Oryzias latipes: one gene and its partner. The protein of the gene in region 2 purifies or fractionates together with the protein of the main gene of each other region. This does not show direct contact. Links are inferred from orthologs where the notes say so. Each region holds a gene or a part of one and is shown on either strand. Other genes may lie near its edges.

Region 1 (4,113 bases), on a different chromosome or scaffold from region 2:
AAACTAAATAAAGGTTTGAAGTTTATAATTTTTGTTTTACTTATATTTAAATAGTTCTGTACATTTTATGTGTTTTTATGGTTTTGACATTTGAAGTTTGTAATAAAAACTCTATACTATGTGTTTCACTAATAAAAAAAATATTCACAAAGCCTTTTTTTTTTACAAAAAAAAAAAGAACTAAACATATAAATGTGTTAAAGGCTTTTGCATTTTGAATCATTTCATTTTTAAACCCAGCACAAAAGTTATTCTGATCCTAGAGGGTTGCAAATATCACTGTTCGACTCAGTCGGGATGCCGACATCAGTTTTAAACTGATCTGTATGTTACACTACTGTACCGTTCCTGCTGCATACCAATATGCTTACATTGAAAGTGTCAGACATGTATAGTGATATATTATTTATTTATTTATTACACCAGGCTTAGTAAAAGCCAACAGAAAGGGTTTTCATCGTTCAACTCAAAGCATTTAGGAAAGTAGACACAGTCAAGGGAATCTGCTGCAGTTCAAACTGAGCATCAGAATGAGGAAGAAAGGTGACTGAAGTGACTTTGAACGTGGCAGGGTGGTTGGTGCCAGACGGGCTGGTCTGAGGATTTCACAAACTGCTGATCCACTGGGATTTTCACGAACAACCATCTCTAGACTTTACAGAGAATGGTCTGTGGGTGGAAATGCCTCGTTGATGCCAGAGGAAGAATTCCAGCTGATAATGAGGAAACAGGAACTCAAATAACCACTGGTTACTACCGAGGTCTGCAGAAGAGCATCTGTGAACGCACAACACGTCCCACCTTGAGGCAGATGAGCTACAGCAGCAGAAGACCAAAGCGGGTGTCACTCCTGTTATCTAAGAACAGGAAACTGAGGCTACAATTCACACAGGCTCAGCAAAACGGAACAATAGAAGATGGAAAAACGTCGTCTGGTCTGATGAGTCTCCATTTCTGCTGCGACACTCGGATGGTAAGGTCAGAACATGAAAGCATGGACCCATCCTGCATTGTATCAACGGTTCAGCTGGTGGTGGTGGTATAATGGTGTGGGGGATATTTTCTTGGCTCACTTTAGGCCCCTAAGTACCAATTGAGCATGGTTCCAACACCACGCCCTGCCTGAGAATTGTTGCTGACCATGTCCATCCCTTTATGACCACAGTGTACCATCTTCTGATAAGGCACCACGTCATAAAGCTGGAATCATCTCAGACGGGTTAATTGAACATGACGTGTTCACTATTTTACCCAATAGATCACCTTTGGGATGTGGTGGAACGGGAGATTGGCATCGTGGTTTGAACTGACTTGTGGGAAAAGTAAATTGTTGCAGCTAATAGTTACTGCTGATTACCTGGATTAGACGTGTTCAAACAATAATATACGATGAGAAAAGGAGTTATTGGAGGAAAAGAATATCATGAAAATACCTGGTAAAAGATGGAAAGCTCTGGTTTAAAGTTAAATAGTTGATTCACTTCAGATTCATGATTCGCCAACAATATAACATCTCTTGTCCGTCTGTTTTAGTGTTACTAATGTAAGTTTTTTGTTTGTTGGTACACCTGTTCCTTTAAAAAAAAAGCAAATGTAGGATTTGATAGTACTCACGTGCGTTTTACAGTGGAGTCCTCTCTCTCACTCATCCCACCTGGAATCTCAGCTCATCCTCTGTCTGCCTTCACATACAAGAAAGGCACCAATCAAAACAACGTTAACTTAGCTGGTTATCTATACGTTAATAATCCGAGAGGACGCTGACTGTCTGGTTTTAGAACTAAACGACACAATATTTTCCACATCATGATCAGTTGTTTCCCTCTCTCTCTCTCTGACCACTTCGTCGTGTGTTAGCTGATGATTCAGAGTCGACGAGAAGAAGAAACTCATAAATCGACTAAAGTGAGGAAAAAAGAGGAAATGTCCTAAGTTGCAGACATAGGTTTTAGTCACTCGGACAAAAAGAAACGTCAGGGAGCTAAACTGTGTGTAAATATACACCTATTGTGCCAGAACTCCTAGCTGCTACGCGTTCAGCTACTCTGCCGAAGCTGCAATTCAGCTGTTTAGCCTTTCCTCGTCTACAAGTTGTGACAAAAACGCGCAACTATCAGACAAGAAAAAAGAGATGTTACCTTCTAGAAAAGTTACAATATTTCTGTTGTTTATCATTTACGTGCTCTTCATATCTTTCCCCCCTTCTTTTCTTGCTCCATTGTCACGTGACCTTTTTTTTTCGCCTTCAACATGAGACTTGTATTTTACACCTGGTCATCTGTAGTGGGGGGTGTCTTCAAGATTGTAGTGCAACTCCGTTGGCGCATGGTGAAGAAGATGAAGCGGGACGCACGGCTACAAATAACACGCGGACCCCATCTTTGCCCTTGAGAAGTTGGCATTTTAGCAGCTAATTTGGCTGAAAAACAAACGCATATAAAACAAGAATGGATTTTCTTACATAAAAAATACTTTATTTGGGTGTGTGAGTCCTTCTTAATATTTCTGGATCTACTTTAACAGAGAAATAAGAACTAATATCCAATTTTAATCCCCACATTCACAAATCATCTCCACGTTTAGGCAAATGCCTGGTGATTATCCCCATGTCAAATCAGAAACACGCATTTGTGTAAAAATGAAGACCTGCTCTTTCGAAATGCATTCAGATAATCAGATCTGCATTTCATAGAATCAAACTATTTTTCCTGTGAGTACTCAGAATCTGAATTATCCCATTTTGTGATAGTTGGAGTAATAATAATAATAGCAAATATAAATAAATAAGGAAGTAAACATATTTTTGAGATTCATTCCAATTGAGGAAACAAATCCCAAACAGAATTTCTAAACTTTTAAAGCCCAGATTGTGTCTTTATACAGCGATTGCTTTGTGTGGCAGTGGGTGAACTTTGAGTCAATATTTGAATATTACAAGCTACTTGCAAAAAAGTTTACATAAAATATACTTTGTATGAAAATATTTGTCAAGTAAAGACAAAAAAAGGTCATTTGCACAGTTACGCTGTTAACCAGCCAAGCTCAGACAAGTGCCTTGTCCTTAACACTATATATTTTATATTTTATAACATAATTAATATATTTATGTGAAATCATAAATATGAATATGTCTGGAATGATGGTGTGCTATTTTAAAATTCATTAAGAACCATATTCGATCTACTTTTCCCCTCCTTTTTAAAAAATTAAAATAGATTTTTTTTCATATAACAAGAACAGAAATAAAGCATAACATTGTTAAGGGGTTTCAGGAAGTGATTTCAAATAATGGTTCATAGTATTCTCTTATAGCACAGGATTTATTAAGACAGCAGTTGCTTTTATGTCTGTGTTTTGGGGTATAGAATAGTTTATGCTAATGCACAGATGTCAAACCGCTGTCCTCAAGGGTGAGAATCCTGCTAGTTTTTTTTTTTAACTAACCCTGCCTTGCAGCTTTTTATTTTTTAAAGGACACCTGATGCAGCTAATCAGTGGCAGGCAAGACTGGAGTATCTGATAAATCACCTGCCCTCCAGTTCAACACCACTGAGCTAAATTGTTAAAAAACAGTTACAATAAGGCTGCTTATGTTTTTTTAAGGTGGAATATTAGTCCAGAACACTTAATGAAGATTAAGCTGGGTATTAGAATGGAGATAATAGGTGATTTCTTAATGTTAGAGATTAGAGGAAAACAGTGAAACTGGTCCTTGATGACAGAAAGAGGCATGAAATAATTAGCCTTTAGAGCCAAAGCATGCAGCAATCCACTTCTGAATGCGCAACACGTCTAACCTTAAGGCAGGTGGACTACAGCAGCAGAGGATAATGCTGAGTGTCAGTCCTGTCAGAGATAAGAACAGGAAACTGAGCCACCAGTTTCTGAGGACTCACTTAGATTGGACAGGAGAAGATTAGAAAATGTTGGGTCAGAATGATCCATAAAAACATAGTCCTTTCCAGGCTGAAGTAAAAAATGATCTCACTCGTTCAAATCCTCTTTCGCTCCAATTGTGATACTCACACTGAATCCTTGCAGGTCACCTTGACCATGTTTAAAAGTTAATGCCATCTGATTGGCTGATCAGGTTCCAACTTTATCGTAAATGTT
Region 2 (4,311 bases):
CAGCCCGGCTGGGCAGGTGACAACCAAATCCCCGAAAAACATGAATATGAAGCAACAAAGGAACTTTTGGGGTTTTCTACCTGTCCACCGTTTATTGGTGGATGCATGCGGATGCAGTGTAGCAAATACAGCTTGTCAAGCTGTAAAGAAGGTTTGAAGCAGGGGTCTGCAATCTTTTCCCCTCCAAAATAAAGCTTTAAACTTTAAAAATATATTGTAAATTACAAAGTAAGTAAGTATTTAAACAGACTCTGTACTTATAAATTATACTTCTACATAAACATAAAAAACAGTTTTTTATTCTTTTGTCACTGCTGAGATAACACTACCTGTATTTCCTGCATTGAGATGATCCTATGAGGCTCAGGGTGTCTTTTATTTTGAAAGGAAGTCAAGTAAACTTCTGTCAAAAACTATGAACTGAAGAGAAAAAGAAAACTATTTTCTCTTTCCATTCATGTTTTATTTAACCAAAAAATATATAATTTATATTTATCATAATAATAACAATACCAAATACAAATAAGTGTTATTTTTATAAAAGTGGTCAGTGGGAAATCAACCTGGAGTGTTTAAGGTTGCAGGCCCCCGTTCTAAACAAAGAAAAATTTAAGTGAAAAAAGAAAAACCTTAATTAATATAACCAAGAAACAATAAAAAAAAACATAAGGTTTGACACCAATTCATTAATAAGCAGTTAATGAATGCAGAATTTATGACATTGCTTCAACTAATATTGTTTTTTTTAGTGCTCAAGGAACTTTGTCCCTGTTTTACGACTCCGGGTTTTAGTTTGTGGTTTTAACACAGTTATGGGACGGAGCATGTTGTCTGCGAGCCCATGTGAGTCTCATTAGAGTTTAGGACGCAGTGCAGGCATTCGGGATCATCTGTGAGCTGGCTCTGGGTGGAAATGTCCACAAGTTATGTCCTCCTTCTCAGTTGACACCCTTAAATATTGATTTTACATAAACAAACAGCGGAACTGTCAAGGATAACAAAGGATGAGGGAGTGAAGCTATGAGTGAGAGCAAATCTCAGTGGAAAGATGGATATTTGTGTGGGAAGCTTGTTCTCTTTGCCTTTCAAAATGTCCTAAAGACCCACTCCAATGAAAATTGTGTTTTTAACATGTTCTTATGGTATTTTTCTGATCATAGAGGACATATATCAAGAAAATGAAATTTAAAATGCATTTTTTGAGTATTTCTTTATTTAAATCATTGGGAATAAGGAGCAGATGAAAAAAATGCAGTTTGAAAAAGAGCTTATTTGTTTCCTAGAAAATATACCGGCCGGGCCACAAGCTCACTGCTCTGCTTATGCATCCACTTGGAGACAAATGTACGTCTTTGTTTTCCTCATCCGAGCTGGAATCTGGCCCCAAACTATACAGCAGGATAGCTCCGATATTGCTCATCATTTTTGTTGCACTGGTAATGTGAGGTTGGGGCCGTGAGGCGCTGGACGCCAGCGAGAGGGCATGTAAATAAAAGGGACAATGGGACATCAGCGGAGGCTTACTTCTGTACCAACAAGTCAGTGGCGAGTATTACTGCCGCTCTGCAGAAACTATGTCCTAGAAAACGACACAGAATTGTTTTTAATTTGAGCTAAAAAAACGTATAATCATTGTAACAAGAGCACCGGTGACGCTTTAAAAATAGATCAAAAGATGATTGGAGTGGGACTTTAGTGTGTGTTAAAAAAATATTGTTTTTTTTTTGTAATCGCAGCATTGGTCTAAACCACAATAACAAATGTGCATATCTCCATCCTCTAAGTATCTTTGTTTATCTATGCAAAAGTGTCCTTTTACCAGATAAATCAAACCTTTAAACAATGTGAACATCAGACTGTTTGCATAATAATTCAGGATTATGGAGCATGGTTTAAACCAGCAGGCTGCACTATCTAAATCATGGCTTAATATCCTGTCAGAGAACAATTTAGAGGAAACTACAGAACTCTAATACTTACACAAAATCCCCATTTTCCAAAATGAGTGACAGAAGTCTGGGCTCCTTCACCCCAGACCTCAGCTCCTGACATCTGACAGTGTGAGCAGCAACAATCAAGGATTCATAGAGACGGATTCACAGAGCTGCTAGCAGAGTTTAGCGCGTTACAAAGCCATGCCACAAGAATATAAGACAGCAAAGGAGCAGGAAAGATGGCTCCAATGTAGCACAGTTACAGTTAGCGTCGTTATGACAAGGATTAGGAAATGTTTCTTAAGGCGTTAGTAACATGACACTTGTCAATACAGCTGTGAATAAAGGTCAGAGGGCCAGTTATACTGATTTTTACCCATAAAACACGAGAAAAACGTCTCAGCTCGTCCATTAGCATCAAGCTACTACAGCACTTAACACAACTCAAAGGATATTGCCAGGCATTCATTGTCGCATAATCCCGAAGAGGACTCCATTCTTACAGACCTCCCGTTGTCCGGTTTATGTTGACACCACAATAAATAAACGCCGTTTTCGTGGTAGATGAAGTTGGGACGGTGCCCACCCGGCGAGGCGGCCTCCTCCCGGCAGCTGTTCCGAGGTTTCGGCTGCTAACGCAAAGGGCTGTTTGGTTAGCCAGCTGTTGTTGGAGCTGCTGGAAGGACTCGGAAATGATCAACCGAGTGGAGCGACCAACATATCCTGGTTTGGATCCAACATGGTGTCTAAAATAATTGGATATTCCAATAAGATCAGGTTGAGTTTCAGTTGAAAAAACTTCTAAAACACTACAACATTAGCAAAAAGAGTTTGTTGTGTCGAATCCACTCCTCCCTACAACGAGAGGCGTTTTGTTTTCTAAGTACAATTCGGCGCGTTGCCGCCCCCGTGTGGTATGGCGTCGGAACTACAACCCTGGCACAATTATTACACTTCTAGCTCATCAACATTTTCCCATGCTTCAAATATGTTTTACTTTTGAGTTATTCAGAGAAAATATTTATTAAACCGAACCTTTATTAGCTGAGCTAATCATTTGGGACACGGCTTTAGTAGGTTTTTATAGAGCTTGTCCATAACTGTAATAATAATATGTTTTTCATGTCTTTTGAGTTTTTAAATGCAGGTTAGCTTAAAGTTTTCATGAGCAGATGAGGTTAGTGTCCAGCCTGTTTGTAGGTCTTTGCTTTATTTAGAACAAAAAAAATGAATGAAAAACACCAGTTGTTGTTTATTTTATTTGTTGTTGTTTTTTTAAAACACAAAAAAAATTAGGAACAAAGATCACTTGTTTTTTTAATAGAATGCAAGACGCTTCTACACTTCAGTACATATTAAATATGTTTGTACTCAATTTATTTTACATACAGTTTAGTAGTGTACAGTTATGTTATCATTTCTTTAGAACAAATTACTTTAGAACAAATGTGATCTCAACACAGTGATAGGAAACAAACTACTCAGCTCAGATTGCTTTAAATTCAATCTGAAGCAGCCCACAATGTTAATCATTTTGTACAGAACTGATGCCTCACAAAAACTGCCTCACAGATGTCTTTTATATTTATCAAACTTTAATTCCCAGAAGGATTTGTTCAAAACGGTTGTTTGACCCATTTTGATCAACCTGCATAAATCTTACATGTTAGAGTTTGTTTCCTGTAACGGGTAAAAGGCACATTTTTTATTTTCCTTCATTGACCGTTGACAAAGTTTTACAGCAAAATGTTGCTGACATGCAAAACCTCTAAATGTGCCACATATTAGAGCCCGGTAAAGCCAACTCCTTTCAAAACCACCAAAAAATGAAGCAGGTCAACCTTTACAGCACTCATCCCATCAGATCAATCTAACAGATTTTAAGGTCTGAGCCTCTCTACAAAGGAAGGAAGAAGAATATATTGTATGTGCATTTAAACCAGGAACTGGTTTAAATCAGTTTGGATATTTATGTATTTTTATGATCATATATGCTTTAAATTTAACCCTTCAACACAATTGAGACCCATTTAAAAAGCGAGCACAATTTTTAGAATGGGTCAGGTGAGTTCAGCTGTTTTTACTAATATTTTCTTTTTAATTATGACTATGATTTTTAATAAAGACTGTTATAAAGAAAGCAAGCAGAGTCAATCATAGCATTTCTTATTCTGAGGGCCTACTCTGTGCACAGCTGTCTCTTGGCACCACTAATAAACCTTTTGTATTTGTTAGTGCCCCCAACGTGCAGTGTGGGGGCGCTGTTTGATCGTTCAATAGGCTGCGAGATCCACCATGCGTCAGGTTTGCAGCTCCAGTATCTTGAGTTCCTGAGTCCAGGGGCCAGCAGCCATTGCCTGGGGAAGAAACCAGAGCA

The links. The genes of interacting proteins can lie anywhere in the genome.
Region 1: the proteins of ocrl (region 2) and fam109a purify together in Homo sapiens (co-immunoprecipitation; 5 studies listed by BioGRID and IntAct, counting the BioPlex papers as one, with this or other methods). This does not show direct contact. The link is inferred for Oryzias latipes from reciprocal best matches to the Homo sapiens genes OCRL and PHETA1.

The regions. Positions count from the first base shown.
Region 1 is NC_019867.2:7,425,208-7,429,320, reverse strand, and holds the start of fam109a (sesquipedalian-1), read right to left. Parts: upstream 2,817-4,113; 5' UTR 2,139-2,816; intron 1,683-2,138; exon of another isoform or gene 1,679-1,682; 5' UTR 1,615-1,678; intron 1-1,614. UniProt on the Homo sapiens protein: Plays a role in endocytic trafficking. Required for receptor recycling from endosomes, both to the trans-Golgi network and the plasma membrane.
Region 2 is NC_019868.2:9,844,932-9,849,242, reverse strand, and holds the start of ocrl (inositol polyphosphate 5-phosphatase OCRL-1), read right to left. Parts: upstream 2,810-4,311; 5' UTR 2,432-2,809; coding exon 2,390-2,431; intron 2,061-2,389; coding exon 1,981-2,060; intron 1-1,980. UniProt on the Homo sapiens protein: Catalyzes the hydrolysis of the 5-position phosphate of phosphatidylinositol 4,5-bisphosphate (PtdIns(4,5)P2) and phosphatidylinositol-3,4,5-bisphosphate (PtdIns(3,4,5)P3), with the greatest catalytic activity towards PtdIns(4,5)P2.